Linked DNA regions of Schizosaccharomyces pombe. The gene in region 3 interacts genetically with the main gene of each other region. Each region holds a gene or a part of one and is shown on either strand. Other genes may lie near its edges.

Evidence for each region.
Region 1: mutations in SPOM_SPBPB2B2.14C (region 3) and toe4 together harm fitness more than expected from each alone (negative genetic interaction), as found in Schizosaccharomyces pombe (one large-scale study listed by BioGRID).
Region 2: mutations in SPOM_SPBPB2B2.14C (region 3) and wdr21 together harm fitness more than expected from each alone (negative genetic interaction), as found in Schizosaccharomyces pombe (one large-scale study listed by BioGRID).
Region 4: mutations in SPOM_SPBPB2B2.14C (region 3) and erv46 together harm fitness more than expected from each alone (negative genetic interaction), as found in Schizosaccharomyces pombe (one large-scale study listed by BioGRID).

What each region holds. Positions count from the first base shown.
Region 1 is NC_003424.3:113,907-124,136, forward strand, and holds toe4 (transcription factor), read right to left. Parts: upstream 6,328-10,230; 5' UTR 6,203-6,327; coding exon 4,289-6,202; 3' UTR 4,155-4,288; coding exon of another isoform or gene 2,787-4,154; 3' UTR 2,148-2,786; downstream 1-2,147. Other genes in the region: mfs2 (MFS family membrane transporter), read left to right, coding at 174-1,814; SPOM_SPAC11D3.06 (MatE family transporter), read left to right, coding at 2,787-4,154; SPOM_SPAC11D3.08C (amino-acid permease), read right to left, coding at 6,650-8,302; SPOM_SPAC11D3.09 (agmatinase), read left to right, coding at 8,939-10,123.
Region 2 is NC_003424.3:325,709-332,973, forward strand, and holds wdr21 (WD-repeat family protein wdr21), read right to left. Parts: upstream 3,878-7,265; 5' UTR 3,777-3,877; coding exon 2,514-3,776; 3' UTR 2,488-2,513; downstream 1-2,487. Other genes in the region: cysteine-type deubiquitinase Miy1, read left to right, coding at 986-1,148, 1,234-1,683, 1,790-2,274; protein eti1, read right to left, coding at 4,102-7,035.
Region 3 is NC_003423.3:4,490,892-4,497,307, forward strand, and holds SPOM_SPBPB2B2.14C (uncharacterized protein), read right to left. Parts: upstream 2,432-6,416; coding exon 2,014-2,431; intron 1,964-2,013; coding exon 1,689-1,963; downstream 1-1,688. Other genes in the region: SPOM_SPBPB2B2.15 (Vel1p domain-containing protein), read left to right, coding at 5,482-6,093.
Region 4 is NC_003424.3:210,976-218,640, forward strand, and holds erv46 (COPII-coated vesicle-associated protein Erv46), read right to left. Parts: upstream 2,549-7,665; 5' UTR 2,232-2,548; coding exon 1,059-2,231; 3' UTR 739-1,058; downstream 1-738. Other genes in the region: SPOM_SPAC24B11.07C (oxidoreductase), read right to left, coding at 1-56; pyruvate transmembrane transporter Mpc2, read left to right, coding at 5,508-5,864.

The DNA.
Region 1 (10,230 bases), on a different chromosome or scaffold from region 3:
ATCGGTGTTTTCGTTCACGATCTGGAACAACGCGATGACTAAAGCAATCTCAGCTGTTTAAATTTGACTAGTATATAAATCTCTCCTTCGCATATATTTCGATAACCTTCGTTTGTTTGGCGTTACTTTTGACCCACTTTTATTTATTCTTTCCTTTTCAATACTAACTGCACATGGATTTACTTTCCTTAATTACGGGAAAGAAATTTGAAAAGCACTATTCGAAAGTGGGTTCACGTTTTTCAGATGAATCATTGAATGGTTTAGAAAAACAGCTGTCTAACGGTGCTGATGCTGCTATTGATACTACTGCTGATGATCGAGGATCAGTGGTTTCATTAGGAGCATCATTGCCACTTAGTCAGGGACGCCCTGCAAAAAGCAAAAATATTTTAAATGATACCCTTTTAGCAGAGGACCAATATCTTGTAACGTGGGATGGTCCAGACGATCCCTTAAATCCAAGGAACTGGAGCCATAGTTATAAATGGTGGATTGTCATTCAGGTTTCTGTTATTACCATTGTTGTTACTTTCGCCTCTAGTGTGTATTCTAGCGGCATTATTGATATCGCCAGTGAACTTCATAGCTCTATTCCAGTTTCTACGTTAGGTTCTTGTACTTTTTTAGTAGGGTTTGGTGTTGGGTCTTTGCCATTTGCACCTTTAAGTGATATTTATGGCCGATTCATCATATACTTTGTTACCCTACTGATATTTACTATATTTCAAGTAGGTGGAGGTTGTGCACATAATGTTTGGACGTTGGCTATTGTAAGATTTTTCCAGGGTGTTTTTGGAAGTACTCCCTTGGCAAATGCTGGCGGAACCATCAGTGATTTGTTTACACCTGTCCAGCGTACCTATGTCCTTCCTGGGTTTTGTACTTTTCCGTACCTTGGTCCAATTATTGGACCTATAATCGGTGATTTCATTACACAAAGCTATCTGGAATGGCGATGGACATTTTGGATTAATATGATTTGGGCAGCTGCTGTAATCGTGTTTGTTTTCATTTTTTTCCCCGAAACTCACGAAGATACGATTTTGGATTATAAGGCCAAATATCTTCGCAAAACAACGGGAAACACTGCTTACTATACCATCCATGAGCGGGAACGAGATCCGAAAAATGCAATGATTCAGGCAGCTACTCAAGCTGTTTCTCTTATTTTTACAGAGCCCATTGTTGTGTGCTTTACTTTGTATTTGACTGTGGTGTACATCATTAACTACATTAATTTTGAAGGATATCCTATAGTATTTGCAAAATACGGCTTCAACAAAGGTGAGCAAGGGCTGTCGTTTATTGGTGTTGGCGTTGGAATCGTATGTGCAGGTCTGTGCACTCCATTTATTTATTGGCATTATTTAAAGGTCAACAAAAAGAGAAACGGAGTTATATGTCCAGAGGATCGTTTGTATCCGCTGTTTATTGGTTGCTTCTTGTTGCCTATATCAATGTTTTGGTTTGCATGGACATGTTATCCACATCACATTCACTGGATTGTACCAATAATAGCAAGCGCTTTCTTTGGGTTTTCCTTATTAATAGTTTTTTTCGTTTCATACAATTACATTATTGATTCGTATCAACATATGGCACCGAGCGCTTTAGCTGCAGCTACTCTAGTTCGCTATTCTGCCAGTGGAGGCATAAGTATGGTGGCCAGGCCTATGTACCTTAATTTAGGAGATCACTGGGCTACTAGTGTGCTTGGTTTTATTTCTGTAGCGATGGTTCCCATTCCTTTTATATTTTATCGTTTTGGCAAGAGCATTCGTGCGTGGAGCAAAAACGCTTACAAATTGTAAGAACAAGTGTGATTATTTGTTGTTGTTGTGTTTATTTAATGTTGATTATAATTGTCATATCATGCATATATCTATATAGTAAGAGAGTGATTGCAAGCAAAGATGAATTTTGGTGCTTATTCTATTTAAAGAACGAATGGATGTTTATAAACTAATTTAGAAAGTTTTAATAAAAACGTAAAGATTTAAAGTTATTTCGTGTTGCATTCTAAAAGTCACAGCAATCTAAATATAAACTTTTGAAAAGCAAAATTAACCGAGAATGATATATGCGTACGCCAAACAACTGGATTCATACTTATACACAGTTATTTGGGAAATTACAAATCGTTTTTTCTGTAATGTTTGTTCAAATCATTATTGACTAATAAATTCACCAAGCTATTTTCTGCTATATATTTTACCACCATCGGTAAGTGTTATAATTATTAACAGTCAATGAGTATGCAAGGTAAAATTACAAAATATTTTTTGTACTCTTTATTCGCTTTCATGCTCAAATTTTTGTACTAATTTCAACAAATTAAGAATAACGTGCGAGTCAATAGCTTCTTAGTCTGCAACCGATTTGTTACCTACTATTTTTAACCAGCGGAGTGAGACGGTAATAATATTTTCACCGGCAAAATATGCTAACTGCTATCATTTAAGTTAGCAAAAACTCGGCGAGAATTCCCAATGTCTGTTGGCTAAGCGAAAAATATTTTGCGTGGGTATTTCTAAATTTCCGTATCTCCACGGATATACTAATGTTTAGCCATGACATCTGAAGTTTTATGCCCTAAATGTGCGGCTTCTAAGCGTTCTCTGATATAAATTTATGGTTCCATCCGTTCAATCAATATGATAAAAGCTTAGTAAACTTTTATTAAAGGAAAATTTGAACCTTCGGTGAACAGACATTAAGAAGTACTCTTTATTTATATTAAAAAATACACCGTATATCCAAATTTTCTCTGAGAAAGCACTATTATGGGTAGACCACTTACAGAGGTGAAATACCTTTTGATAAATTCAGCTCCGGTAATCCTTGGATATGCCTTGCAAAACTCTTTGCAAACTAGTTCAGTTATTGTAACCGGGCGCCTTGGACCAAGCGAGCTTTCCGTAGCTGCTTTTGCGTACATGTTTGCGATGAGCACAGGCTGGCTGATTGCTCTAGGTGGAACTACTGCTTTTGACACACTTGGCTCCAACCTTTGGGGAGCCGGAAAAAAACAAGAATTGGGAATTCTATTGCAAACGGGTTTCATCGTGCTCAGTATTCTATATCTGCCAATATGTTTAGTTTGGTGGTATTCTAAACCCATCCTAATTTTCTTGCATCAAACACCTGAATTAGCTGAAGCTTCACAAAAGTTTTTACGATACCTTATCCCAGGCGGACTAGGTTATGTATGTTTTGAATTGCTAAAAAAGTTTTTGCAAACACAAGAAATCACTAGGGCTGGTTCTTATATTCTTCTAGTTACCTCTCCTCTTAATGTCGCCTTAAATTTTCTACTTGTCCATTATTATGGATTAGGTTTAAAAGGCGCTCCATTGGCAACTGGATTATCGTACTGGCTTTCATTCATTTTATTAACTCAATATGCGAAATACGTAAAAGGGGCAGAGGCGTGGAATGGTTGGAATAAACGATGCTTAGAGAACTTTGGACCTTTTGTAAAGTTATCACTATTGGGTATCGTTATGGTGGGAACAGAATGGTGGGCTTTTGAAATAGTAGCACTAGTTGCTGGTAAACTTGGTGCTGTACCACTTGCCGCTCAATCAGTAATTATGACCACAGATCAATTACTTAACACAATTCCTTTCGGTCTCGGAATAATTACTTCTAATCGAGTTGCCTACTATCTCGGAGCTGGGTTACCTGACAATGCTTCTCTAACTGCTAAGGTCGCAGCAATTGTAGGTGTTGCAGTAGGAAGCGTTATCATGATTACCATGATTGCCGTACGCAATATCTATGGACGGATTTTCACAAATGATCCAGATGTCATTCAGCTGGTTGCTCTTGTAATGCCCTTAGTAGCTGCTTTCCAAATATCAGATTCCTTGAATGGTACAATGGGAGGAGCTTTAAGAGGCACGGGAAGACAGAAGGTTGGCGCTATAGTTAACATTACTGCCTACTATTTGTTTGCTCTGCCTCTAGGAATTTATTTAGCCTTCCATGGCAAAGGTCTTGTCGGTCTTTGGATTGGACAGGTAATAGCGTTATCCATAGTCGGAATTTTAGAACTGAAAATTGTAATGGCAACTGACTGGATTTCCCAATCAAGAAAGGCAATCTCAAGATTTGGTGACTCCTCTGAATTGACTGCACTACTCAATTAGACATTTGGGTCGATGCATGTAGTTGATCAAGCAAAATAGTTTGATAATAGCTTCATTGTTAACCGGTAATGATGTTCACCATGTACATTAAAGCAAATAAATTATTAATAAAACAACGTTACTTTCATATTTTTTTAAAGATTCCTCATAACATTGGTTACTCTGTCAAAATCCCAACTGTTTAAGTCGTTAAGTTCAAAACCTTCAACGATATCTTTAAAAGTAGAATCCGTAACATCATTATTTTTGGCACTGCAAACTTCTTTAGCAACCCGCAAAAGTTTGTCTGCAATTTTGACAAGTTCCAAAGCCACGTCACTAACTGGCTCCATTTCCATAAAAAAATCGTAAATTACATGTAAAAGATCCAAATCGTTAAGTAATGTTTCTGAGTCCGTTTCCGTATCAGTTTCGTGAACAAGGTTATTAAATATTATTAAAAAAGGTGTAAAAGGACAGTATAGGAATATCCATAGCGGATCTGCTTTAACATTGACCCTGAGATCAATGTTGAGTCTATTTTTTAACAATTGAACTGCTTCACGGGCTGCATTAATACAAATCCTTCGATTCTCTGTCGACGAGCTAGGTCTGTGTAATATAATTAAAGTGTTTAAGTAAGAAAAGTAAACTTCCATACCTGCGAAAGTTAAAAATTCGAACCGATCGCTAAGCGATATAGTGGGAGAAAAAGTGTTGTTTAGCAACATTTCATGATACATTTTTATTTCAGAAGGAAGGTTTTCTTCCCACGCTTTCAATTTTTGATGTATTGGTATGATGATTTTTTCTCTCGCTGCCATTTGCGTAGGTGACTTCACGCTGTATAGTCGATTTCGTATTTCACTCTGAATTATTGTCAACGATACGGTAGGAACAAATATCAAATCACCACCAGATTGTACACCAAACAAAAGCTCATATTTGCTATCAGGCAAATTACAATCAATATCCTTGTCGTTAAAAACGGAAGGGGTTCCAAAAATCAAAGAAATATTTTTATCGAGAATATAACACATCCAAAATATCCTTTTCCACGATTCAGCCTTTTCAGGCTCCACATCAGTGGATTGCTTTCTATGTAAGTTTAATTGTTGGGCCATGAGGCAGGCTTGGCCGCACAAAGTCCGACATAAAGAAGAGCTAGACAGGTAAGCTGCGTACTGTGTCATGACAATTAAAGCCTGAACTTTGTCAATGCTCGGAGTAAGAAAAAAGTCGGACTTTTGAACAAAAACCCAAGCTGTTGAAAACAAAGACTCTGCAAGCGTCTTTGAGTTACCAAGTCTTTTCCTAATGCTGCTTAATGCTAAAATAGAATAAAAAGAAATTAGCCAAGCATTATTGCTATGGAACCCGAACGCATAAAGACGTTCGAACTCATACATAAAATCATTATATACGAAGGTAGGCCACCACCAATTTACATGCTGAAAGTAAGACGTGACTAACTCATGGGCTACTTCCTTCTTGGGAATGTCATGGAATGCCTTCTCCCAGTCCGGCAACTGTGGAGGGAACAAGCTTTCCACATTCAGTATCCGAGTAGGTGTATTGTCGACAGGGCTACCTTGTCTGTGTTTAATAACAATCGATTCTGCATCTTTAATTTGTGTAACCAAGGAAGGTAATTCAATAGCCTTATTTTCACGTTTAAATTCTGAAGTTTCAGTAGCTATATCTAACAACAAATCGATTTTTTCTTCAAGCAATTTAAGGCGTCTCTGAACGGATTCTTCACCATCCTCGGGTTTTTCAATGTTTTTACTAATAGTTCCATTAGTAGTTAATGCAAAATTTTCTTGATTTGGAATTGAGTGATCACTCGGTTCTGGCTCATTGCCGTTAATACCAGCGGCATAATCAAACACGGGTAACGTAATTCCCCCAAACGTCTCCTTGCTTCTTTGAACAAGTCTCTTACGGCGAGCACGATTAGAATAATGACAGTCCGCTTGAAAAAGAGTACAAGTCTGACATCTTGGTTGCCCTCGACTACATTTAATCTTCTTCAACCTGCAAAGATCACATGCTTTATTTTGAGACATCTTATGTTAAGAAAAGAGTAATTAAACAACTATCTTAAATTCTAGCTGAATGCGTATCAATTGTAAGCAAGCATTACCGCCTTTGGTGCAGTTTACTGTTAAAAAGCATATACATCTGCAGATTTATTTTAGCACTACTCAAGTCGTGCTTAAGTATAGGTTATAAGGGAAGTGATGATAAGAAAATCTGGACAAGACGATAAGTATACGTACTCGAAAGATAAAAAAAATTTTATATAATCTTATATTACTGATAATGATAACAGAGCCACTAATTCATTAAAAGACATTAAAACAATATTAAGCTATTTAACTAAGACTAGGAACAAAAGAATAAAAAAGAACTGTTAATAAACATACAATTATAAAAGCACAGTAAAAATACAATGAAACAGCGTAGCTGTTGCCAAAAAGAAGAGTTAAGAAAAGTATAACACTCAGGTTAAATTACTCTGTGATTTGCTTCTGGTCAAAATCTTTTGGCAAAGGTAAACTGCTTAAAGATAGTTCATTTAGTGGAACACCAGATATGTACTCGTTCTCCTGTTGAACAGTAGGTATTGGACCTGTAAAAAAAGTTTTACCACCAATCTTTGGCAAATAATAATACACCACGCAAAAGACCATTACAAATCCAAGGACCACTATAGCCCAATTCATCTCATCTTGGTTGGGCTTTTGATATTGAGGAAACAAAAGCATAAGAATCATAAACCACATCCAAACTAATGACCATAAGGCTGCTGGTTTGCTCCATTTTCCAACGTAGAAAACACCAGGTTGAAATTTATTGTACACAAATCGACACATAAGAGGGCCGGAATAAGCGATATAAAGAGCAATAATTGCTAAATTAAACACAGAAGAAATGGCAGTGACATTAACCAAAATTAGTAGACCGACTAAAAGGCTATAGAGTAGCACTAAAAGAATTGCATTTAAGGGAACTTTCTGTTTAGTCAAAAGACGTAAGTATCTACTTCCTGGAATCCCGCCGTCTCTGCAGAAAGCAAATACTTCTCTAGATGCAGCAATCAGTAACGAAATGCAGTTCAAACAAAGGGCAATGACCAGCAAAGAGAAAATTCCTAAAGCTCCCTTATTTCCAACATTGTTAACCAGTACTTGAGCTACAGGCTGGCCTAAAGAGGAACCTAGAATGGCATTAAAATCGTGACCCATAGTAGCTACAACGGTGATAACGATGCACCATCCAAGAATGGTAGCCACACCAAGACTGGAAATCATAGCAAAGGGAGCTGCTTTGGCAGCATTCGTTGATTCTTCAGCAACAGCGGCGCTAGATTCGAATCCGCTTACAACCCACACAGGAGTAGTGAATGAAAGTATAAATGCCCATCCCATGTTTGACCATCCAGAATAATTTGTAAAATCACCGAATATAAAACTTCCAGAATTTCTAGTAGTAGAGTCAGATCCTGCGGCAAGGGCAATAATAAGAATAATGGATACAAGGAATTGGAAGGTAATATTAATGATGTTCACCTTCGCGATAACACGAGAGGGAATTGCAGTCATGGCAGAAATCACGAAAAGCAACGCTGCGTAAATTCCGTACTGTTCATATTTTGTAGGTGAATAAGAAGGACTACCTATCACAGCTAGTGCCTGTACCATAGATGATGCAGAGTACACTGTTGAAGCATAAATCGTAGCGTAGCCAAGCACTGACACGTAACCACAAACCCAGCAGAGAAATGCTCTTGACGATGGTGATGCTAGGGTAAAAATCCAAAAATAAAGACCTCCAGAAGTAGGCATAGAAGACGCCAGTTCGCCCAATGATATACTTACTGGAATCAGACATATACATCCAATAATCCATGACCAAACCATGCCTCCTCCTCCACAGTTCATCGAGAAAATGAGTGAACCCGCCATAGCCGGACAAAGACCCATTGATCCAAACGATTGACCAAAAATGCTAACGTAAGAGAATTCTCTAGTGAATTCTGGTTTGTAACCAAGGCTCATCAGAAGCTCATCATCTTGATTAGCTTCTCTGCTTTCGCCCAACTCAACTTCATTTTCCCATTGCTTCTGATTTTGTTTTAAGCTTTCTTTGTCGATGTCACTCATTGTAAATGCTGAATGTGAGTCGTCCTTACAAGCAGAAAACTCTCAAAGCAAATTGGTCTTAGCAAAATTAGCAGCTCGTAAATATTTTATACCAAATATTTTGAATAAGACTAAAGATCTATATGTCAACTCCTCCAAGCCGAAATAGCCACACAAAGCTTGTTTGTCAAAAATTTTATGATCACCGAAAGGGTATATGCTTGCAGAGGCTTTTGTGACTAAATATGTCTTTATTCAAAAGCAAAAATGAATTTAACCATTTTATAAGACTTTAAAAGTTAATCATAAAAGCCCGAATTTCCTCGCCTTCCGTAATTTATTTTCCTTGGAGCGTACAATCATGCCTTTATTTCCAAGGAAATTCTGATAGGCAATAATATCTTAGATCTAACTTAAAGATCCATCCTAATCTCTCGTTATACTAGTTTGTTCCGGTGGATGCTCAACTCAAATGACGAAATCAATCGTTTTTACAGGAATGCTTATTTATATTAACGAAATGTGAATCCCCACGGCAGATTCAAAAATTTCCTTGGAGATATTTGAAGAAGTTTGTATATCTGAAATGTAGTATAAATACCTTATTCATTTCACCTGAAAATGCAATAAACTTCAACAGTACAAACAATTATTCAAATGGCTCTTCAAAGCCTTTTTTTGATTCTTCTCGCGGGTGCTGCTCAATTGGCTCAAGCGCACCCAAAGATCTTTGAGCAATCTCGTGCAAATGCAGTTGAAACCTTTGACGATGCTTTTCCAGGAGATGGTGAAACACAAGCTGATTCCGTTTTTTCGGGAATCGCAACTTTTGGTCGTCTTCCTTATTGGAAATGTCTAAACGACAAAAGTCAATCTTTCGACATTGCCTTCCTTGGAGCACCATTCGACACTGGTACTAGTTACCGTCCTGGTGCTAGATTTGGTCCAAGCGGTATCCGTGAAGGATCTCGTCGTCTCAATCTTTATGGTGGTTACAACGTTCCAATGGAGACCAACCCTTTCAACAATTGGGCTAAAATTGTGGACTGTGGTGATATTCCTTTGACGAGTTATGACAATGCAGTTGCTATTAAACAAATCGAGAATGGCCATTTCGAATTATTAACTCGCAAGCCTACATCTTATTCTGAGAAAGATGGTTATGCATTAGATGGAAGCGTTTTGCCTAGAGTTATCACCCTCGGTGGTGACCACACAATTGTCCTTCCAATTCTTCGATCGGTCTCTCGTGCATATGGACCTGTCTCTATCATTCATTTCGATAGTCATTTGGACAGCTGGAAGCCCAAGGTTTTTGGAGGCGGCAAATCAAGTGTTGGTAGCATTAACCATGGTACTTATTTCTACCATGCTAGTCAAGAAGGATTAGTTTCTAACGATTCAAACATTCATGCTGGTATTCGTACAACTCTCTCCGGTCTCTCTGACTACGATAATGATGCTGATTGTGGTTTTGAGATTATTGAAGCTCGTGAAATTGACACAATTGGAATTGATGCTATTATAAAGAGGATCCGTGACAGAGTTGGAGATGGTATAGCTTACTTGTCTATTGACATCGACGTTCTTGATCCCGCTTATGCTCCCGCCACCGGTACCCCTGAGAGTGCAGGTTGGACCACCAGAGAATTACGTACCATTCTCCGCGGCTTGGATGGGATCAAACTCGTCGGTGCAGACATTGTAGAGGTTGCACCTGCTTATGATTTTGCTGAAGTTACTACATTAGCTGCTGCTGATATCTTGTTTGAAGTTATGTCTATCATGGTAAAGACTCCTGTGTACAAAGAACAGGCTAAACAACAAAGTCGTTTCTATTAGGTGTGTTATAGAGTAGTAAAGTTTTTGGAAACTCAACTTAAAAGTTATCAAAAATAATATTAATTTCGAAAATTTCTCAACATATGATTAAATTTGCTATAGTGTCG
Region 2 (7,265 bases), on a different chromosome or scaffold from region 3:
CAACTGAAAGAAATAATTTCCTGAAAATTGTAAATCCAGTATAAAGCAGCTTATATAGCCTTCTCGTTTATAAGATGAAAATTATGAAAAGTGTTTCAATGATGATGCTACCTATATAATCAATACTACTTTACTGAAGTTGCATTTAAACTTTCAAACATAGCTGAAAATAAAATGGTTAAAAACGCATACTTTAAAGCAAATTCATAACTTTTCTTTGGTTCATTAATAATTACAACTGTTAAGCATTGAAAAGATATCTACTGGAAAAGTCTTAAGAGACAGTTGTTTTTTTTAAACTCATTTATTTGATTAATTTATTTTAATTTTCAATCTTGAACTCATTTTCTAAAATTTTCTGGGTTTCTGACAACTTAATAAAAGGAAGTTGTAATTTTACAAATACCTCATTTCTAGTTTATAATTACAGTAAATGAGTGCAAAAGAGTTCATCAACACTTAAAAGAAATTTAATTAATATACTAATTTTTAAAAATATAAATTCAATTTTAACTTTTTGCAACTAAAGTCGATTTTTTAATATACTTCATTGCTTTCTTCACTATAAATAGAATCCAAAATTTGAAGATTACAAAATAGCTGTTAAAAACTTAACAAAGGCAATTATTACAAATACTGAATGTATAAAGCTTGGGCCCCAATTGCAATTACCTAATAATATGTATACGAAATATAGCACAATCCTAAAAGTTCAATTTCAGTATATAAGATTTCATTTAAACTATAAATCCTCCTGTCATAAAACTAAATTTATTTTGAGTAAACACCTTTTATCATTAGCACTGACACTGGTTTTACTGTGATATGGTGGTGTAAGCTATATCCTTACCCAACTTACGATCAACGTCTCTAAATTAACTCATAAGGTTAATTTAAATGACACATTTAGGAATCCTTGAATATAAATTTGAAATTTTCAAAAAGGAATTCTTTAAGAAACCTAAGTTCTGTTAATTACCAAGCCATGGATAATGTTCAGGAACACGATCCTGATACTCAAGAGCATAATAATGAAACTCAGAACCATAAGCAAGAGGACCATTCTAATTCCTACCAGACAAGAACTATTCCTTTCATAGAACCCCTTTCAAGGGAATACCAGAAACGAATTATTCTATGTCAAACAGGTAATCCTTATAAAGACTTGTAACGTTTTAAACATAATTGCAAGCTTTTATTCCGCAAATTCTAAGTTGCTTACTTTGTATTCAGTTAATGGCCCGTGTCCTATAATTGCTTTGTCCAATGCATTAATATTAAAGTCAAACGTAGATCGACCATTTGAATTGCCGAAGAAAAGATACATCACACCCGATGAACTGACAGAATACTTGGTGGAGTTTGCTAAAGCATACGGCTTATGCAAAAATCAGCAAAGTCTTCAGGATAAACTGACATCTATGCATTTCGGTCAGCAATTGAATCCTTGTCTCTATGATATTGAAAAGTTTGAGTATGGGCATGAAATCTTTTGTACATTTGGAGTTCGATTAGTTCATGGTTGGATTCTTTCAGATGATATGGGTTTGAGCGACGAAGATTTAAGCTACCTTCGAAAGCTTGAATATTATGAAAAAGTTGCAGATACATTTGCCGAACGTCGTTCTCTATTAGAGATGCAGGAGCCACTAACTGAACAGCAGCAAGATTTTTTAAATAATTGTAAGTTTTTACTTATCTGTCGTGCATACTTTCTTCAGTTTACTGCTTGAGAGACTTTAGCCTTATAATTTGCTATATGTTTTTTACAAACTAACACTTCAAATAGCTACATGTGTTGACAAAGTTATGGAAAATCGTTATACAATGCAATTTTTGACGAATGCTGGTCTTAAAAAGATTCTTGAGCTTGTAGGTCCAGGGGAAATAGTCGTGGTTTTTCGTTCCAGTCATTTCAGTACCATGTATTCAAATCCAGATTCATTCGCACAATTTACTTTGGTCACAGATAGTGGATACGCAAGGACAGGTGAAGATGTTGTGTGGGAAACCTTTGACTCGCAAACAGTTGAGACAGGCAATGGTGAACTTTGTGCAGCTAACTTCATTCCTGCTGTTTATGTTTTGAATCAAAGAAAGGAGGAGAAAAAAAAACGCGCTAAAGATGATGAACAATATGCCAAGAGACTAGCGAAAGAAGAAGAAGAAAGAGGAAAAAAGGAGACTCCTAAAAAGGCTTCCAACACTCCTCGTCGTAACAAATCCAATACCCAGAAATCACGTAAGCAAAGCGAAAACTGTTTAATTTCGTGATGAAACATGATACTTAGAGGATCTGTCTTTTATATTTTTATTTTTTGTATTCGCTCTAGTGAAAGCGTATGCATTTACTACATTTATTCCATAGTTTCTTTTACGTCAACAATTATTAATTAATATTGAAATCTCCTAAACTTTTTTGAAAGATTGAAAAGTAAACAAGCATTACATATATCCGTAAGACTAAAGATACTATTGCTACCAAAAAGAATTTTCTTCACCTTGTTAAATGCTCATGGTTCGTAAATAAGTAAGCCTCGACCATACGGTAGAACCCAACCGGTACCATTCATTGCTTTTACCCAAGACCCATCTCGACATAAATATTTACCATCGTCAACTCGCATTTCCTTGAATGGTAACGAACAGTCGGTTTTCCAAAAACGTAAAACATAATCATCACCAGCACTGCTAAAAATGCTTCCATTCTCATTTTTCATCAAAGCTAAATTTCTTTCAAGCAAATTAGAATGACCCATATAAGACATAATTGACTGGGGTCTTTTTTTACTTTGCAGAAATCGGCAATCATACAAAGAAATTTTAGATTCCAAACCACTAACCAAAAGCTTCGGTTGGGAAAAATCTAAGTTTTGCATTGAACAAATGCTAGATCCATGATAGAATCGCTGTACACATTCTTTCTTCGTCCGAAGATCATACACTAATACACTTTTATTTCGACATCCAGCAATGACTAAGTTGTCACCCAAATATTTAAGACTGAATACGTCTCCTTTAGATTGCAAACTTTGCGTTAATTTTCCCTCTCGATTAATTATTGCAATTTTTGAGGTGCCACCAACTGCAAAGCCCATCTCTCCAATACTTTCTGCACATAAAGGGGTTTTCAAAAGTTTAAGAGATCCCCAACGGTAATTATTGGATTCACCCAATAGCTGGTTATAAGTAGATATATGAAATTGTCCCTCATTCTGCAGAGAAGGAGATGTAGACCAGAAAATTTGCATTGCGTTACATACCAAAGAAGAAATGGGATTATTAGAGAGGCCTATCCTTGACAAGGAAAAATCCTGAATTGAACCTTCTGAAGTATATTTTTCATTTGCAACTCCAGATTTGTCTTCAGGGGTAAGACAACACCCCAATATGTCGCCGTTTTTGGAAGTTAAAATTATGGTATTAACTTCGCGAAGCCAACCTATTTTTTGCAGCTCAGTCCCAACTGGAAGCTGCCGAAGATTTATTTTTTTTAGGTTTTTTGCACATAAATAATCTCTGTCATCATTACAAGAATAAGGATATTGTGAAAACTGTCTATCAAAAAGATAAGTTGAAAAGTTGAAAACGGGATTGCCTCCTTTTCCTTTGGTTCGTTCTTTACTGATATTATTAAAACGCTTCCCCCTTTTCAACCTCTCCTTAGTATAAATATTAGAGGACGGAGTAGACTGCCCCGAGCTAATTATTCGAAAGTAACGCTTTTTTTCAGAATTGTAATAATAACCGGGAATATGAAATGGTAGTCCGCTCATAACCCAGGGATTGATGGTAAGCAAAAGAAATTAAAAACAAAAAAGGTTTTGTTAAAATGTTGTCGTTATACCATTTCTCTGTTGTATGTAGCCAAATACTTAGGTATTCAAAAGACAACACAACTATATAAATTAATAAAAAAAAGCACCAGTGTGCGGCAAACGGTATAATAAGGTAACACGATAAAATTCCTTATTTGTTAACTTATAGTTAATAGCTTAAATGCCCCCTATAAGGAAAAAATGCCGTAAAAGACAAAATTACTAGTGCTTGCAGCTAAGCTTATTGTCGCTCATAAGCTAGTTTCAGAGATTCCTCCATTTTCTATGTATTGAGAAAAATATCGACTTCTCTTAACAGTGCTTGGAGCGTCGTAATTAAAAATTCGTGCTTCGACTTCTGTATACTAGAGTTACCAATTAGCACAAATTCCCTCACGTTTTTAAGAACAATGCGCACAACGGAGGAGAACAGCTCAGGAGTTAATGTGCCGCTGTTGTTAAATACTGATAATGTCATAGTCCGAAGACGTGAAGTAGCTCGCGATAATAGTTGAAGACGAGAAAATGATAGCTGTTCCTCTTTTATGATTAACTTGGAAAGAACATGAATAAATGCTAAAAGATGAATTGAAGAACAATCATCTAGTGAATAATCAGGCACATCTTGTAATGACCGGAATGCTTCAATAGAGGGATCCTTCGTGAAGCAAATTAACGCCTCTTTATTCTTAGAAATGCGAACCAATTCCAAAACTTTTTTCGATACTGCAAATGACTCAGATTCTTCAAAATTAGAAGAGGATGTTGGACTTTGATCGCTAGTTTCTAATCGCTCAATCATTAAGAGTTTTTCAAGCTTTTGGTTAATGTTTCCTATGCGGTTTGAAAAATCGCACAACTGCCTATTACTGCTTCTATAAGTGGATGTTAAGTTTTCCAAGTCGTTTGCCAAAAATCCAGTTTCTAGGAATCCTACCTCAAGAAGAAAAGGTTTTGAATGTATCAATTTGAAAAGATCAGAAATTTCATCGGTTGCAGCTTCTGAAATAGTCTGCTCCAACAATTTCATGTAAGAGTTCTTAACAACCAATTCCACTCGACTATGCAAGCTTTCAAATTTTGCGTGGATTCTACTTTTCATGACTGAAGAGATATTTTCTCTAACCTCATTAGGATTTTGAGGAACGTATTGATTGAAGAATGGCATGGAGGGATAACAAACTGATCCCAAAGACTCTGTAAGATTTTGTGTTGTGGAATCATCCTTAGATTTTGCACAATTTTTTAAATCTTGACTCAAAGCCCTTAGCGTGTTATTAGACTTTAATCCCGAAGTTAATGATGCCCTAGCTAAAATTCGCTTGTCAGAATTAGGATATTCCAAAGAAGTGCCCTCGTCAAATTTGGAATCGCTTTCTATGCAGAACTGAAAATATCCAGAACTTAGTGCCAAAATTAGTTCAAGTTTGGAACTATCACAGCCAATTAAGGTGACAAAAACAATGCTATGATCCACCACCTCATTCGATATTACTTTATTAATATAACCAGAATCTCCAAAACGCTTGCCTTTGGAAACAGCAGAGATCAAAGCTGCAGTGTTAGATAATACACCCACATTGGATAAATCAGAAGGTGAATAAATAAAGATATCCAAAAGCTGATTCCTTTTTGCAACAATCATGTTTGAATTATTGAAAGTAAGTAATTGCTGAATAGGTGATTTCTCTTTTTCATTTGAAAACTCAATTTCTTGAGTAAAAGCACATAACCCAAAATCAAATAAACCTAATATAGTATTATTAGCATAGGAGACACAAATAACTTTATCAATGATATCATTATTGTTCGGTGGAGATGAAAGAAAAGAAATAGAATTTGCTGTACTCGGAAGCTGAAGGCTCATTGTCGCGATAGCCGCCCAGTTACCTCGGTGTGAAGGATTAGTAGAAAATAAATTAGAAACTGGAAATGAATAGAAAAAAATTTGAGAATTCACTAATATTGCAACAACAGAACGGTCAGAAGAGATGGTGTATGAGTTAATCGGCCCAGGTAAATCAACCTTGGCAGCTTGTAATCCATTAAAATCTTTTGCATAAACTTTAGGGCTAATATTATTGGAACGAATATTTGATATATCCACAATATATAAAGAATTCTTTACAATCATAGAAAACATATTTGAAGAATTAGGAATCCAATCACAAATACCATAATTGGCACGACGGATGGTAAACAAAAGTGAAACTGAAATTTCAGATCGCTTCTGTAAAATTTTCCAAACATACAGATTAGAGAGAGCGTCCATTACCAAAAGATGGGGCTTTGTATGCTTATTTTTGCCAAAATGTAGATTTTTAACATCAGATTGCGTATAAAGTATGAGCGATTGATCGGTATTGGCGTTCAGTACGCGAATATGGCAAGGATCCTGATCCACGTATGCAAAATATTCAGAAAATTTATCAATAACTTGTGAGTTAGCATAAAATGTACTATAAGGAAGATCACAAGATGCTATTTTATTGCAATCTTCTAAAAGCAAAGGAGATGCAACGAATGAAGCCGGAAAAGAAAAAACTCGACCCAAAGAGGGTTCAATACAGTAAACATCATGAGGCACATCAGGTGCGGGTGTTAAAATTTTCTTTTGCTCATCCTTCAATAGTTGAGTATGCATTTCAGAAGACGTTGAGGATTTGGTTGATGGAACTTCATCACCAGAATTTGGCTTCAATGAATTGACTGATTGTCCAGGAGAAAATTCTCGATAATCAGCGACAGTTCGAAATTCTTGATATTTAGTGGTTGACGATTTATTTTTCCCCTGGTCAACCCTTTCATGAAAGGCTTTATCATGCTGCGAACTGCTATTTGAAGACAAATCCTTTTCTTTCATTGAAGGAGGCTTCTCCGTATCTCTAGATTTGCCATTTTGTTGCAATGGACTTGTGGCTTCTAAAAACTCGAACGGGTTAAAATGATGAAAGAATGGCTTGCGAGTTTGTTCATAGGAACTGCTTTGGGGAATTTCATCACTAGATAAGTTTGAAAAATTATCTCGAACATCGAGAGAATCTTGATATAAATCTTTATTGTCTGAACGACTTACTAAGTCAAGTAGAATGCTATCATCAGGAGTTCCATGGTTCATTGAGGATTCCGATAATGCCGAAAAAAAAAGTTCATTACTTTCGTCAACGAACGATCCGAGATTTGTTTCATTAATTGATTTTTCTTTATAAAATGACATATTAACAACGATGGTTGTTTATGTAGTGCGCTTTGTTTGCACTCTACATGTACTGGGCTTTTGTTAGTGGGCAAGTTCGAATTTTCGCTAATATTAAAAATAAGGAGGAAGCAATTTAGGGAAATACATTCGTCAAACTTCATCTTAGAATTTAATACTCACATTTTTATTAAGTTTCTCAAAAGAATGTGAGAATGCAACTATTAATTATTTAAGAAACAGAAACATAA
Region 3 (6,416 bases):
AAAGAGATCATTTTCGTTTTTAGTCAATAAAAAGTTAAATATCAGTACCTGCCATAATTGTATATGGTAAAGCTATCAATTTTCATATGATGTTCAAGGAGCCTCAAAAAAGAATGAATAAAGTGATCAAAAGTTCTCTTTTTAATAGTAGACAATCTGATATAAATATCAAGCAAAATTAAATCACCTAATTTCGATTTAAGCAAATAGTCAAATATATAAATTTTCGTTAACTAAAGTTTTACATTAGCTTTAGGAAGGCTTATATGACTTCGTTCCGAAACCACTTTATACTCTCCATATTTTATTTACTTTTTCAGATAACTGGATATGAGAATACATACTTTTAATTTTCACTTTCGTTTTTTTAGAATGATAGAATTTATTACGTTCATTTTTTTGATACTATATATAAGGCAGATGAATAATATGTGCAGAAATTGTTTTTATTTGATCGCATAGGAACACGCAAAGCTTGCAATTCTAACTTACATGTCAATAAATCCTTAACATAAATAAGTGCAGTGATTTTAGAACAAATAATGCAAATTAAAATTCCCTTAATTTAAATACGAGGCAACCTGGAAGTACTTTAAAACTGTTTAAAAAGTTCCACATATTTTCAGTTTGGTAGCAATTTGTAAATATATCTTACTTTAGATTGCTTTTTTTTGGGAACTTGTAGCTCAATATGAACTTTTATAACATTCTATTGTAAAATGTGTTAATCGTGCTATACTTAACTTTTTTATCAACTTCCATCATAAATCTCATACCGGATACTTAACACTTGCTTAATTGTTAAAGACTTTTATTACAATCAAATATATTTGTTGTGTTTCTGTTAATTTTAAATTATAACAACGGTTTCACAAACATAAAAGCAATAAAATTGTAGCGCTTGCATATTTAATACTGAATAATTATAATGATGTGACAGTAAGTAATGATGAAGCGGCTCAGACATTTTGGGAATCACCTGTAATTAAGTACAGTAGTTAAAAGATGCGAATTCTTGTGTAAATTTTTTTTGTTTTCAATTATATTTCTTCAAATCACATGCATTCTACATCATCGTCAACCCATACTTACTTTTAGCTTAAAATTTATTTTTTTCATAAATAGCTATTGTCTATTCGATTGGGGTTAAGAAATCAAACATTAAAGCTTCGTTTGCATGTCAATTTATTAGACAAATTTACTTTTTCAGGTGAAGGAGATACCGACAAGTAGCGGTATAAATTGTTGAAAAGCTAAGTCTAATGTGTATGTCAATACGTAAACAGAGTTTTTGAAAGACTCTGAATAACTCGATTTTTTGCTGCCAGAATATAATTTGCAATTTAAGAATTTATTGAGCTAATGAATCAATCGATCTAACAATTTCCATATGCTGCATTTTTCAAGTTTTCAGACATAACTTTAAAAACGAGTCATTCATGATGTATCATTAAGAATTCATTTTGTGACGCAGTAAATGACATTCATAGTATTTGATTAGACTTGAAACGAAAGATAAAACATTAGTAACATCAAGTGATAATACTTCATTAAAAACCGTAATTAGGTTGACTCCATAATTGAAATTCATAACAGACGCACCTTTAGTGCATGATTAGGACGGTACAGTCAGTAAAATATTGGTAAGGATGATTATATTCTTTTCGATCATAAAACGATAAAGAAAATTATTTTTTCACAGGAGTGGGCATATTTTGAAATTCTATTTGTTCAATGTCAGAACCAACTGTTGCCTTTGAATGTGATCCTGTTTCTCCATTATGTGTAGGAAGAGTGTCTCCCAATGGCTTAACTTTTATGCCGAAAGCCAAAATTAAAATTTTGTAGATCAGCCAATGGCAGATGTATAAAATTTTAACCATAGCCACCGCGATAATTACTACGACCGCTGCTATAACTATACTGATCAATGGTATAGCTTTTACAACAATCTTGGAGCAGTCTATTTTAAATTATTAGTAAAAAAAAGGCATCACTGTAAAGGAAACATACAAATTAAACCAAGCAACAATAAAACAAACAAACAAATGTAAATAGCAATAGGCCCCCAAATTTCACTGTAAAACCGATTTTCATTTATAAAACTTTCATTTATCCAAATTGAAAGAAAATCTTTGACTTCAAAGTTCTTGTCTATTGCGAAAACAATCAAAATACACCAAATAATAAGCAAGGGCCAACGAAGTTTACTGCGGGTAGAAATCCTACCATCAGGATAACAACTATCATGAAATTTAGAAAATTCAGTAAAAAGGTTATCTAAAAAGAACTTTATTTTATCTGTCTTAATGTTTATTTTATCTTTTTGAGGCTTGATGATGTTGGTAAAGAGATTTTGTTTGTTTACCTTTTCAGGCTTACACAATTCAAGTCCCCACTCCAGGTCCACATTACGAGTATCTCTTACCATAAATAACTCATTGTAACCAGGGGGGGTCAACCTGTTTTTTTGCGCTTTCTGGATTTGACATTGGAATAAAACCACAGCACTGCAATTTGATAGCTTTAGCACCACTAGTAATGTTTTACAATGTAAAATTAAACAGTGTGGTTTATGGAAGATAATAAGAAAATATAATAAAACATTTTAAAGCCATAAACGAAAGAATTAAAAAAAGATCAAAATTGGTGAATGTTTTACGTTCTGAGATGTTTCATTTATTTGGGAAAAACATTATGATGTGAATATCTTGTAATACTTACAAACTTTTTTTATCGCAATTCCTATATAACGAAGTTGGTTTAGTTTGCATTAATATACGGTTCCCTTCAAAGTCTGTAAATAGTGTTAAGGATACCATAAATTGCAATGAAAATCATGTTCTTATGATTTGTGTGTAAATAATTATGTTGGATTGTTCATCATCACGGTTGCAAGTATACAGGATTATTAACGACACATTGATAATGATAATAATGTATGGTAGTACAATCAAACTCGATCTATAGTGTGCTGATTTTATAAAATAATAGTTGAAAACATCGTACGCATACAATAGCTATAAACATGAACAACCTAACTACGTAGCAGCATTATAAAGCATATAGTTAAGTATAGTTGACACGAAAAATCATGTTTAAGGTGTGAGTATTTGCGAAAGTAAATAAAAAGAAATGGAAGACTATAGATTTGTTTGTGTTAAAATTGTAAAAATAAAAATAAAAATAAAAAAAAATCTCGTTGAAAAATTTATATTCGTATGTAATTACAACATCGTTCGCTACCTAAATTTTATTCTCTTGCGAAAAAGTAAAGAATAGGAATCAACGACTAAGTCTATACATCGGACTAACTCTTTTAGATCAATTGTACTGAAAACTTTGGTTCCGCTTAGCCAGTTCATATTTTCTTTAAATTATGGCTCTGGGATTTGGGAACAAAAGAAAACTGAAAATGAAAGGGAAAAAAGCATGAAGCAATGTTACAAATAAATGTATAAGAAGGAATTCCTGTATTAGAAGTTATATTACATTTTCATATAGAAATGATGATTTATGGTCTATTGATGTTTTGATCGTTAGTGCTTCCCATGATAAAAACAAATAAATTGCCATATGTTGAATCCTTCAGATTTTGAGTAAGGCTGAAGATGAAATGTCGCAATAATTCATAACTGTAATACTACATAAAGACTTTGATTATTGAGTTTAACTTTCATACATTTATTGCATTTTTAGCAAATGCAGTAGAACGGGCTTTCAAGAGATACAGAGGAAGAAAAGCGTAAGGGAATTATAAACTGGAATTTGTAAACATCTCTTGGAAATTATATCAATCTTGAATATTGGCTCATCATTAAAAATCATAGTGGAATACTTGGTTGTTATTCGAGTAGTTAGTCAGAAGTTATTGTTTTGATACACATAACCTTACTTGAATAATGTTACAAAAAAGAAAAAATATAATGGAAATAGATGAATCTAAAACAAATTTAATTTTTAAGCGATAAAATTGAAACAAACATTCGTCAACAAACTACTCTAAAATTTCACCTGCTACTAGTTTTACTACGAAAACGTAATATACTAGGGTTTCACAAGGTAAGTCATACATTCTAAATTTCTCCTTCCAGCATTTTGAAAATATCTTCTTTGCTCTAGACTTGGTTAAATACAGATGTAATAATATATGTTAACCACAAACTGCACCTACTTGACATGTGAATGGATGATATCTAAGAGGTGAAATTCAAATCTAAAGTAATGTTATGCAACATCTGTTAATTGTGTTTGTATTTCTTCTTAAAAATAATTACACATTTAACACGAAGCCATGAAAAGCGTTAGAGGTTTCGCCTCTAACTGATTTAAAAAGGAAACCCAAATTTTTTCCCTTCTTAATTTATGTAAAAGTATTGAGAAATACCTAGTTATAAAGATGAAATTTCGAATATTTCAAATTTCATATAAAGAAAGATTTCTTTACAAGAAATGAATGAGTTTTAAGAATATATTCACAACAAAGCATTTGATAAAATTGATTTATTAAGTATGCATTGAAACATTCTAATGAGATTTTTTAAAGGAAACTGCAAAAAAATAGAGCGGTATATATGCAACTCGTTAAAGACGAGTAGTATAAGAATTGCTTCGCTTTCTTCAAAGACTAAATATGGAAAAAGAGTGGGGGATTACTATATTAACAAGTTTTCAGAACAGAAACAGAAACAATTACAACTATCTACAACCGAGAATCTCTTTAATTAATGTTTTCCAGTTCAGTCTGGTTGAAGATTCGTTTTTTGGCTTCTAAGTTAAAATCCAAGTAAATAACTGACGGGTATTTTATTTTAGAATAAATCGATAGGAATCCGAATCGTTTATAATATAATAAACGGGATAAAAGCTACTCATATTGCTAATGATAATCCAGTAGGCATACTACGACTGAAGAAACATAATTTTTTTTCGAATTTTTCCTTATCTAATGGAACCAGTACCATTTCGTGAATTAGCAGATTTTCATTTGTTTGTTTTAGCCTCGTTATTCAAATTCAATAATGTAATGGAAGATTTTCCAAGAATAATAGACGTTGATAACAATGGGTGGGAAACCGCAAATTTTGTTTGAAAATCAGAGGGAAGATCTACACAACAAAAAGAGCAACAAATTTGAGCAGTAGAGAAAAGACCAAAAAAGCGTGTGTTTTCTGAGACAAATGTGTCACAACTCGCCGATAAATTCGCAATCACATAAAAATTGGTATTCGTTATTGACTAGTGGGAAAACCACGTTACCTCAACGATTTGCAGTTGTTACCACTTTTGGTGACATTTCAAAAAGAAAAAGGTGATTTGCAACGTTTGAAATTGCGACGATCATGATCTACGCGAAAATATCTCATTTTATTTTTGTACGAGCTAATCTATTTTCGTTGTTGAAAAAAGAAAAAAAAAAAACTATATAAGCCAACTAAAATCAAACATTTCTTTACAACGCTCAGAAGACATTTCCATACGATGTTCAAAAACTTAATATTTCTCTTCTTCATTGGGCTCGCTACCGCCATACGCTTCAACCTCACTGATCTTGAGTGTAGTAGACTACGCGGTCCGCATTGTGGTACGTATCTACTGAAAGTAGTAGGAACGAATGCTACATACGTTGGTGAAAAATCATTTATAGGTCTTGATGCTTTGACTGAAAGTAAAGGTGAATTTTTTCAGCGTATGTTGGAACAAGAACCTCGACTTATTCCACGTTTGTTTACGATAGCTGAAAACGACACGGCCAACTTTACTCCCTTGACATTTACAACGTATTTGAAAACATGCAATCCTCAAAGTATTGAAAATGCAATGATCCCTTTTGTGAATACTGTTACCAGTGAAATTTCTTTTGATGCATGGGCGTATACAGCACAAAATTCAAGTCGGATAACGGGTCTTAGCAACCAACTGATGAATTCTACTCTATATAATGTTCAAGTAGCAACATGTACTCCCGGATTCTCTGCGTTATTGTTAGATAGTCCTACAATCAATGTTTTTAATAACGAGGAAGGCATGCCAAGTTGGTGTCAGCCCATTGAACTTACACCAGTTTGTCCTTTGGATGAGGGATTCAACTGATATATATATAATCGTTATTTAAATCATGGGATTTAAAAATAGGGGTTAAATTTATCCTCTAAAAACATTTAATTAGAAACGCTTAAGCAATAAAAGTCTTTATACTAGATAAAATATTGTAAATTGTTTTTTTTTTTTTTTTTTTTTTTTTAAACTTATACTAAACATATTTTCTAACAAATAACGGAATTCATAAGTATTTTGATTTTGTTTATGTGTTTTTCGCTTTTTATTGTGTTTTAATGGTAAGGAAAAGTTATAGCATACTTCATTTTACTAGTGAAAAAAGCATAACAGGAAATCTTTATAAGTTAGCGACAAAC
Region 4 (7,665 bases), on a different chromosome or scaffold from region 3:
GAAGGGCTACCAACACACAAAATGCTGACACGCTCCTTTTTTCCTGCGTCAGTCATTTCAGTAGCAAATTAAAAATGACTCTTCTTAAAAAAAAATTATATTTACACTTTAAAAAAAAAACTCAATCGTTGGTTTTGGATTTCTTTTTTCGAGTTGAATTCGTTTGTTAAATCTTTAATAAACTCCACGATTCCATGCAGCTCTAATAACGACTATACTAAAACCGTTTTCACACGTAAATCGAAAGCTTTTCTAAAAGTGATTTATCCAAAGCAGCAAATTGTGGTTTGCTATTTTTCGAAACCGTTTCTATAGGATCACACCGTACAAAAGAGCGCTAATTGTAAATGTATGTATTTGGAAAAGGGAAATTGGTTTCCAATGGAAACGATCGGTTTTCCTTGTGGCTTCTAAGACGTATGATTGTCGGTCTCGGGGTTATGCTTATGGTAGAAGAGCGTGTATGGATATGACAACTCATACCATTCCGCTTGGCACGATCTTCCTTGGAGTGCACTAAAAAAAAACTAAAAAAATTTTGATCACTCGTACTACAAATAATACTTATTTTTATTAATACTTTAAGACAATTCAATTCATTTTAATTTCCTTTTTATTTAAAATGCTATAGAATCAAGACAATACTTTAGGTTCGGAAAGCGAATATATCTAATACTATATGTCCTTGTAAAATTGAATACACCAGATAGAAAGATCTTTATCTTTGTATGTTTAATTAGAAAGAAGACGAGTTTAACATTAAAAGAAATGAATTGAGATGTAGGGAAAGAAAGTGCGTGGTTCGTATGCTCTTCAATGTGAATATAGCGAGTGGTTGTTTGCTAAACGAGGCTAAAAGCAATTTGTGATTGATAAGCGAGTCATGAAATATCAAGTGGTATCAATTTGGAATAGTATAGGAAATAGAGTATCTAAAGTTACAAATCAGGCACTTGCCATGGAAACCGATGGTATTTACATTGATCGATAGGACCAAACAGAAGAAAAGAAAAGAACGAAAAACAAAACAAAACAAATTTAGTGCATAAACAATCTGATCAATTTTTCTTTAACTTTTGAACCTCATAATAGCCTCTATCAACAAACGAAGCAAGTGTAACGCAGCCCCCAAGCAAAGCTAAAACATTACTCAAAAATCCACCAAAGGTATTGCCACGTACTTGACGTTCAATAACACGCATAGGACTAATATCAAATTGAAACCATACACCAGGGATTCCGCCATGAAAGTTAACATGGGTAGGGACTTTTTCTTCACGACCGCCACGAATAGAACGTTCATGCTGTGTGACAGCATATTTGTTTGTGTCTATGGGAAGTGTGCTCTTAGACAAAGGCATGAATTGGTAGGAAACGCACTTAATAAAATATTCGTAGCGATAATCGGCAGTGCTTACCTTTTTCACTGTTCCATCTAAAGGATTGGAATAGTGGACAGACGCATCTAAAGGAGGGCCGAAACTAAGATGATGGATGGAGTGACTCATGTCATGCAAATCGAGTTCATTAATGTAGTCACGTGTATCATGAACATGCTGATTTCCGTTTTGAGTAGATCGTCCAGGAGCAATGTGGAAATTACCGGCCATTCGATTGACGGAGAGCTGACCAGCCAAGTTACAACCTTCGACCTTTTGAGCTTCATAAAGCTCCTTAAAGTTTTCATCTTTACACTGTTTAAAGGCATCAACGTCACCAATTCGCCAGTGTGCCTTACCGTACGCATCTCGAACGGCATCACAGGTATTGCAACAACCTGGGGTATCTTCAGGAGCAAAGTCGGCTGCCCCATAACAATCACCACATTCAGCGGCTCCGTCGTCAGAAATAGATTGTTGATTTCCAATATCCAAATCATCAACGCTTATAATTTCGCCCGAAGGGCTCAACCTCGTTTTAGAAACGGTATGGTGGATGTCACGCTGGAATTCACCACTGACATCCAAGACATCGACAGTAAGTATTTGACAAGGGATACGGGGGAAGGTGATGTTAAAATTGATTTCCATTCGATCGCCATGTGAGGGATTGACGATGATTTCATGGACTGCGATGACTCGCCTGTAATTGATCCATTCCATGAGAACAATAAAAATGACAATAAGTCCGGAAACGAGTGTTATAAGACCGCCACTAGCAGTTTTTATGCGAGCATCTTCGACAGTTTTTTGAAAGGCATCAAAACGCCTAAGGGGTGAACGGAATTGCATTTTTTGAAACTATCGGTCGATAGATACGTTTTTGTAACAATAATACAGAGGAAAAAAACGATTATATGGAGAAGCAGTTCTTTGAACCAACTTGAAAATACTTTTTTTGGATTAAAGGATTAGAAGGGCCCACCTCAGTGGTTCCAACTATGCACGGTTATGTTAGAGCTTTGTGAAATGCTGACCACCAAATCTTATATAAAATAATGTGCTTGAACTTGAAAAACGATCATTCCCAGAATGAAATATTTGGAAATTGTCGAAACAACTTGACTAAGGGGGCTTGAGGTAGTCGGGGAAAGTATACGTTGAGGGTCAACCCAAGCGCAGGACTAGAAGTAGGTTAATAGACAGAGGTGCAAAGAGGGATTGAATTAGTTTGACAGGGATTATGATTGTTTATTGAAAAATCAGATATATATGGGTTCAAATGGAATGTATTCTAAGGGAGCCTAAAAGGCGTTTCAGTTTTAACGTGGAGTTTAATGTAAACGCCGAGGAAAAAGTAGATCAATTAACTAAAAAAGAGAAGACAAATAGTAATTTGAAAGGAAAACTCAGTGTTATTAAGTACAACTCAGTGTGATTGAGTAAATATAGTTCAAGTATAAGTGCGTATACGTTCCAGGTATTATTGTCTTTAAACAAAATCTAAGTATTATTGACTAAAAAACAATCCAAGTACTATTTAGCAAGCACAATCCGAACTACCTATTGAGTTTACACAGTTTATTCAATAAGCGCTTATGCGATCTAAGCACTTTCGAATAAGCGCTTGTTGAATAAGCGGAATCCAAGCTTCTCTAATATAAACCTAAACCAAACACTATGGGATAAACGCAACGCTACTACAAATTTTTTTTTTTAGCATGTCTAATACGGATACCATCAATGTATGACTCAATTTCAAGCATCACCGTCGCCAACACTGTTTAACCAAATACCTTGTATACTAGCACCGCTGGTTTCGTTATGATGCGCAACTAACAAGAAAGATGTACAAGGATGCCTTGTAAATGGGTATTTGGGAGACACAGGATCCGGCAACTTGTGCGATTTGATGAGTTTCCCTTGATGTACATCAGTCATTATCCTATGTCTTTTCCCCATTTTTCGCCATCCTAAAAAAAGCTTAATTCATTATTTGGTCAGCAATCGCAGAAAAGACGCTCCAACACACTCGTGCGTATGGCTGTTCTCCATATTGGGCCAACCTTGTTTCGCTGACTTCTCATGGTGCACTATGTATGCCTAAGTAATTCACAACCATTCACAATACGAAGTGTAAGCACAGATCGGGTTTAGGAAAGGGTAATTGTAATCACATGAGTGCATATCCACACAAATGTCAGAGGAACCTCTCGTTACTCCTTTTCCTCCTCATTCTTTGCCTGCAAGGAGAGACCACCTTTTGCTCATTCCCATCATAACCCTTTCGTAAATGTACTAGTTGGAGGTTCCTCCACCTTTTTTATCGACCAACACTCTCTGCCCATTCGGCCATCCGATATCTACTCGACCGTCGCTTCCAATCTATCTATCCTCATGTACTGCACTTGGCGATCCAGTGGTATGGAATTTCGGAGCTTGATTGAACTTATGGCAATCATCATCAAATCATCAACAGAGAGCACCGAATATTTTTATCTAGGATAACCTGAAGTGGCCCCCAAAGAACCCAAACCCCCACAACCTTCACCTTCCTAAGTAGAGTCCTTCTTAGGTGTACATCCCAATAGAGGTTTTGCAAGGCAAGACACACAGCGCTTGTAAGGTTGGTTATGCTTGTATGTTTTGTTATACTGCACTTGCGCTTTTATTTCCACCGATGCTTTTGTAAACAATTGGACATCATAAGCAAAAGAGTTTTTTCTTTTAAGGGATAAATAATAAATTGAATGAATGGATCCATTCATTCAATTATTTTTTTCCCACTTGCATTTTCGTTGACTAATGGATTCACTGACAATTACTTGCTTGCTAATCAATTTCGGCGATTACACACTGCCTTATTTTCGCATTCCCCCGTCCAGGCGGACTTTACATATTTTACTGAATTTGTGTACAATTGCATTGCTACTGCTGTGTATCTACATTCCGAAGCGATATTGTGACCGTTTCCTTCATCCAAATCTTTTTTTTTTCCTCATATACAACATCAATAAAACGCGGTTTCGTTTTGGTGCTCTAAAACGTTCGTTCCTTCCTTCGCTCTAGTCTGTTGTCACATACTTACATTCCCGATCTACCTCGCGCTTCCTTTCCGGCTCGGTAACGGCAATCAATAGCTTTGGAACGTTGGGTGCTTGTGCCATCGATATCATAGTTAATCAACCTCAAATCAGTGTTTGGTTGCGGTGGTCGTTTAGCGTAGGAAAATTTGTTTTGATCAGTGCAACGATAACATTACGGTAGCGTGATCCAATTTATATACAAGGCAGGCTTTGCGCTCCAATACATACATCCTAGTCATTCATACATAGCGTTTGTTGTTCTGTGTTTATTCTTACTAGTTCTCATTCATAACAGTGAAACCGAAAACACAAGAAAAAGAAAAATATACAAATCCTAGTGTTCCCATTCTTTTTCTTCTCCTTTCTTTACGCCATCCTAATCTTCAAATAAAAGCTAGCTTGCTGCTTTTCTCTATTTTTACCTTATCACATTCTAATTTGCATTCACTATCCTCTACTACGTGCTTTTGCGTGGACGTACGAAAATCTGACTCGTTTGCTCATATCACTCTTTTCCCGAGCTTACATATAAATACACACACACACATTCGTCCCTAGTACGTATACACCAACTTAGCATCGATATTCGTGTGGATTATTTGTTGGCGAAATTTCAAGCTTTCCTCGATTGAAACTAAAATATAAAAAGTAACGGTATACAATAAAGTTGATTTGAGAAACTGTTTTCTAGTTCTTGTGTCTCTTGCTTTTTTTTTTTTTTTCGGTTTTTTCACACTACCATCTTACATATCATTCACATTGTTTCGTCTTACAAAGTAGTGACTATTCTTAAGCTTATTAGCATCCATCATTCCGTTTATCTTTTTTGTTCCCTTTCATATTCCTTTATCTTTTTTTTCCTTCATTTCATTATTGGTTTCTTATCATTCCTCTCATCAACGATAAGATCAGACCTTGCAGGAAAAGTTGCGATTTCTAACCCTACAAAAAGTATTGACTTATTTTTTTTATCTCCTGTGAGACATATTTTTTTTCCTTCTTATTTTTTCCTCCAATTTTTTTTATTTTCTCATATACTCAAATGTTTCGTGCTGGCTTTAAACGCTTTTGGAATCACCCTGCCGGTCCCAAGACTGTTCATTTTTGGGCTCCTGCCATGAAATGGACTTTAGTCCTTTCTGGTATTGGTGATTATGCCCGTTCCCCAGAATACCTTTCTATTCGTCAATATGCCGCCTTGTGTGCCACTGGTGCTATTTGGACTCGGTGGTCTCTGATCGTTCGTCCTAAAAATTACTTTAATGCTACTGTCAACTTTTTCTTGGCCATCGTTGGTGCCGTTCAAGTTTCAAGGATTCTTGTATATCAACGACAACAAAAACGCATCACCGCTCAAAGTGAGCAACGTACCGAGTTGGCCCGAAGCCTTGCTGCATAAAAAAAATTTCAGACAAAACTTACTTTTGTTTCCCCTAAAAAATAAAAAACATGGAAAGGATGAGTGGATGGATATTGGGGAAACAAAATGATCCCTCTTCTCTTTCTTTCACCTTTGTGCCGAGAAAAATAAATAAGGAATAACAGTCCTCCTAATCATCTGAAAAGACATTCTGTTTGGTTTGATTTATTGCATACGTTACTAGCGCAGTCTTCAACAATTTTTCGTATAGATTAAAATTTAAGTGACTTTTTCTATACTTTGTAAAGTTTCCTTTTTCGACAACTTAACCCCTATTTGTCAAACCTTACTTTCTTTTGTTGGTTTGATTGTTATTAAAAAATTCCCAAAAGAGTCGACGACAAGTAAAATTCCTTTTGTCTTCTTGTTTTCACATTGCTTTGTTTGTCCGTCATTTTGTTGAATTGACTTTTTTTTTGCTTTTCTTTTTTAAAGCAGTTATTTATTTGCGGGGATTTTAAAAAAATATCGTTTTTTTCTCTTTCAAATGGAGTTCATGTATTATCGGTTTTGGGGTATTTGTCAGGTCGCTATTTCTTGGGAACATACTATCAGATTATAAGCAGAAGTGATATATTTATGAAGGAAATAGTTTCTGCTAATTTATAGGCTTTTCTCCCATTCTTTTCCGTTGACCTATTTATGTACTGCATATCGCAACCCGGGCTGTCTGGTTAAATGATTTTGTATATTACAAAGCATTTCCTGCCCCTCCCTACGAGTGCACTTTCGTTTCTGTCTTAAGTATAACATACTCGGTGTTTCATATTTTATTTGAAATGCCTTGAAAAAATTGTAAAGGTTTGGAAATAAGATCCTTATGTTGATTTTATTTGGTTATTTTGCTTTATAAAATATGCGGTTGGGTGAATGCTCGACATTAACCTTTAATGAATTGAAAAGGGAATGTTTTTATAACTAAATTGGTGAAATTTTAAGTTTCGGATTGTGATTATTTCAACCGCTGGATTGGGTTTTGTGTCTGTGGTACTTGTTCTTTCATGTCGTGTTGAAAAGTTTTACTACATGTTATGTTTTATTTGAAATGAACTTTTAATAATTAATTCTATTCTTATAAAATACTCTTTAGGTCAGGATTTTTTATTTTTTTTACTGTCATACGTCTGGTTGATAGGCGAAAGTGTCTTCCGTTCCAACTTCACTTTTTAGTAATAGCTTATTTCTGTACAATAACGGTTTTTGCTTATTTATTTTTTTTTTAATATTCAGTTTGCTTCAATCCAAATGTGCATCGTGGATTTATACTGAAAGCATTAATAAAGTAACTACGTAATAAGTATTTGTTTACACAACCTTTCAGCATTTGTATGAATGCTACCTACTACTTATTATTCTGTGGATATGGAGATTCTACACGACTATTGTTGTTGTTTATGCCGTAAATAATTAACACTTATGAAATTTGAATTTTTGTATATTTCCGTGCCATTTACCTAAGTATATAATAATCACGAAAATGTATACAGAATAGAAAATTTTTGTAAAAATATGATTTAACGGAAGAAAACTATAAGCAAAACATGCGACAAACAAAAGAAAGAGAGTTTAATCAAAGAATGACATACCAAAATCAAAAGTGGTGGTGGTGATAAATAAAAACAAAGAGAAGCAAGAAAAAAAAAACAGTAACCGTGCTAACAAAATCATATAAGCTCTATGCAACGCCAAAGTATTCTGATAGCATGCTGTTAATATACAAACTATATGAAAACATTCGGAAAAACAACAAGGACTAACCAGACATTAGCCAACCGTATTA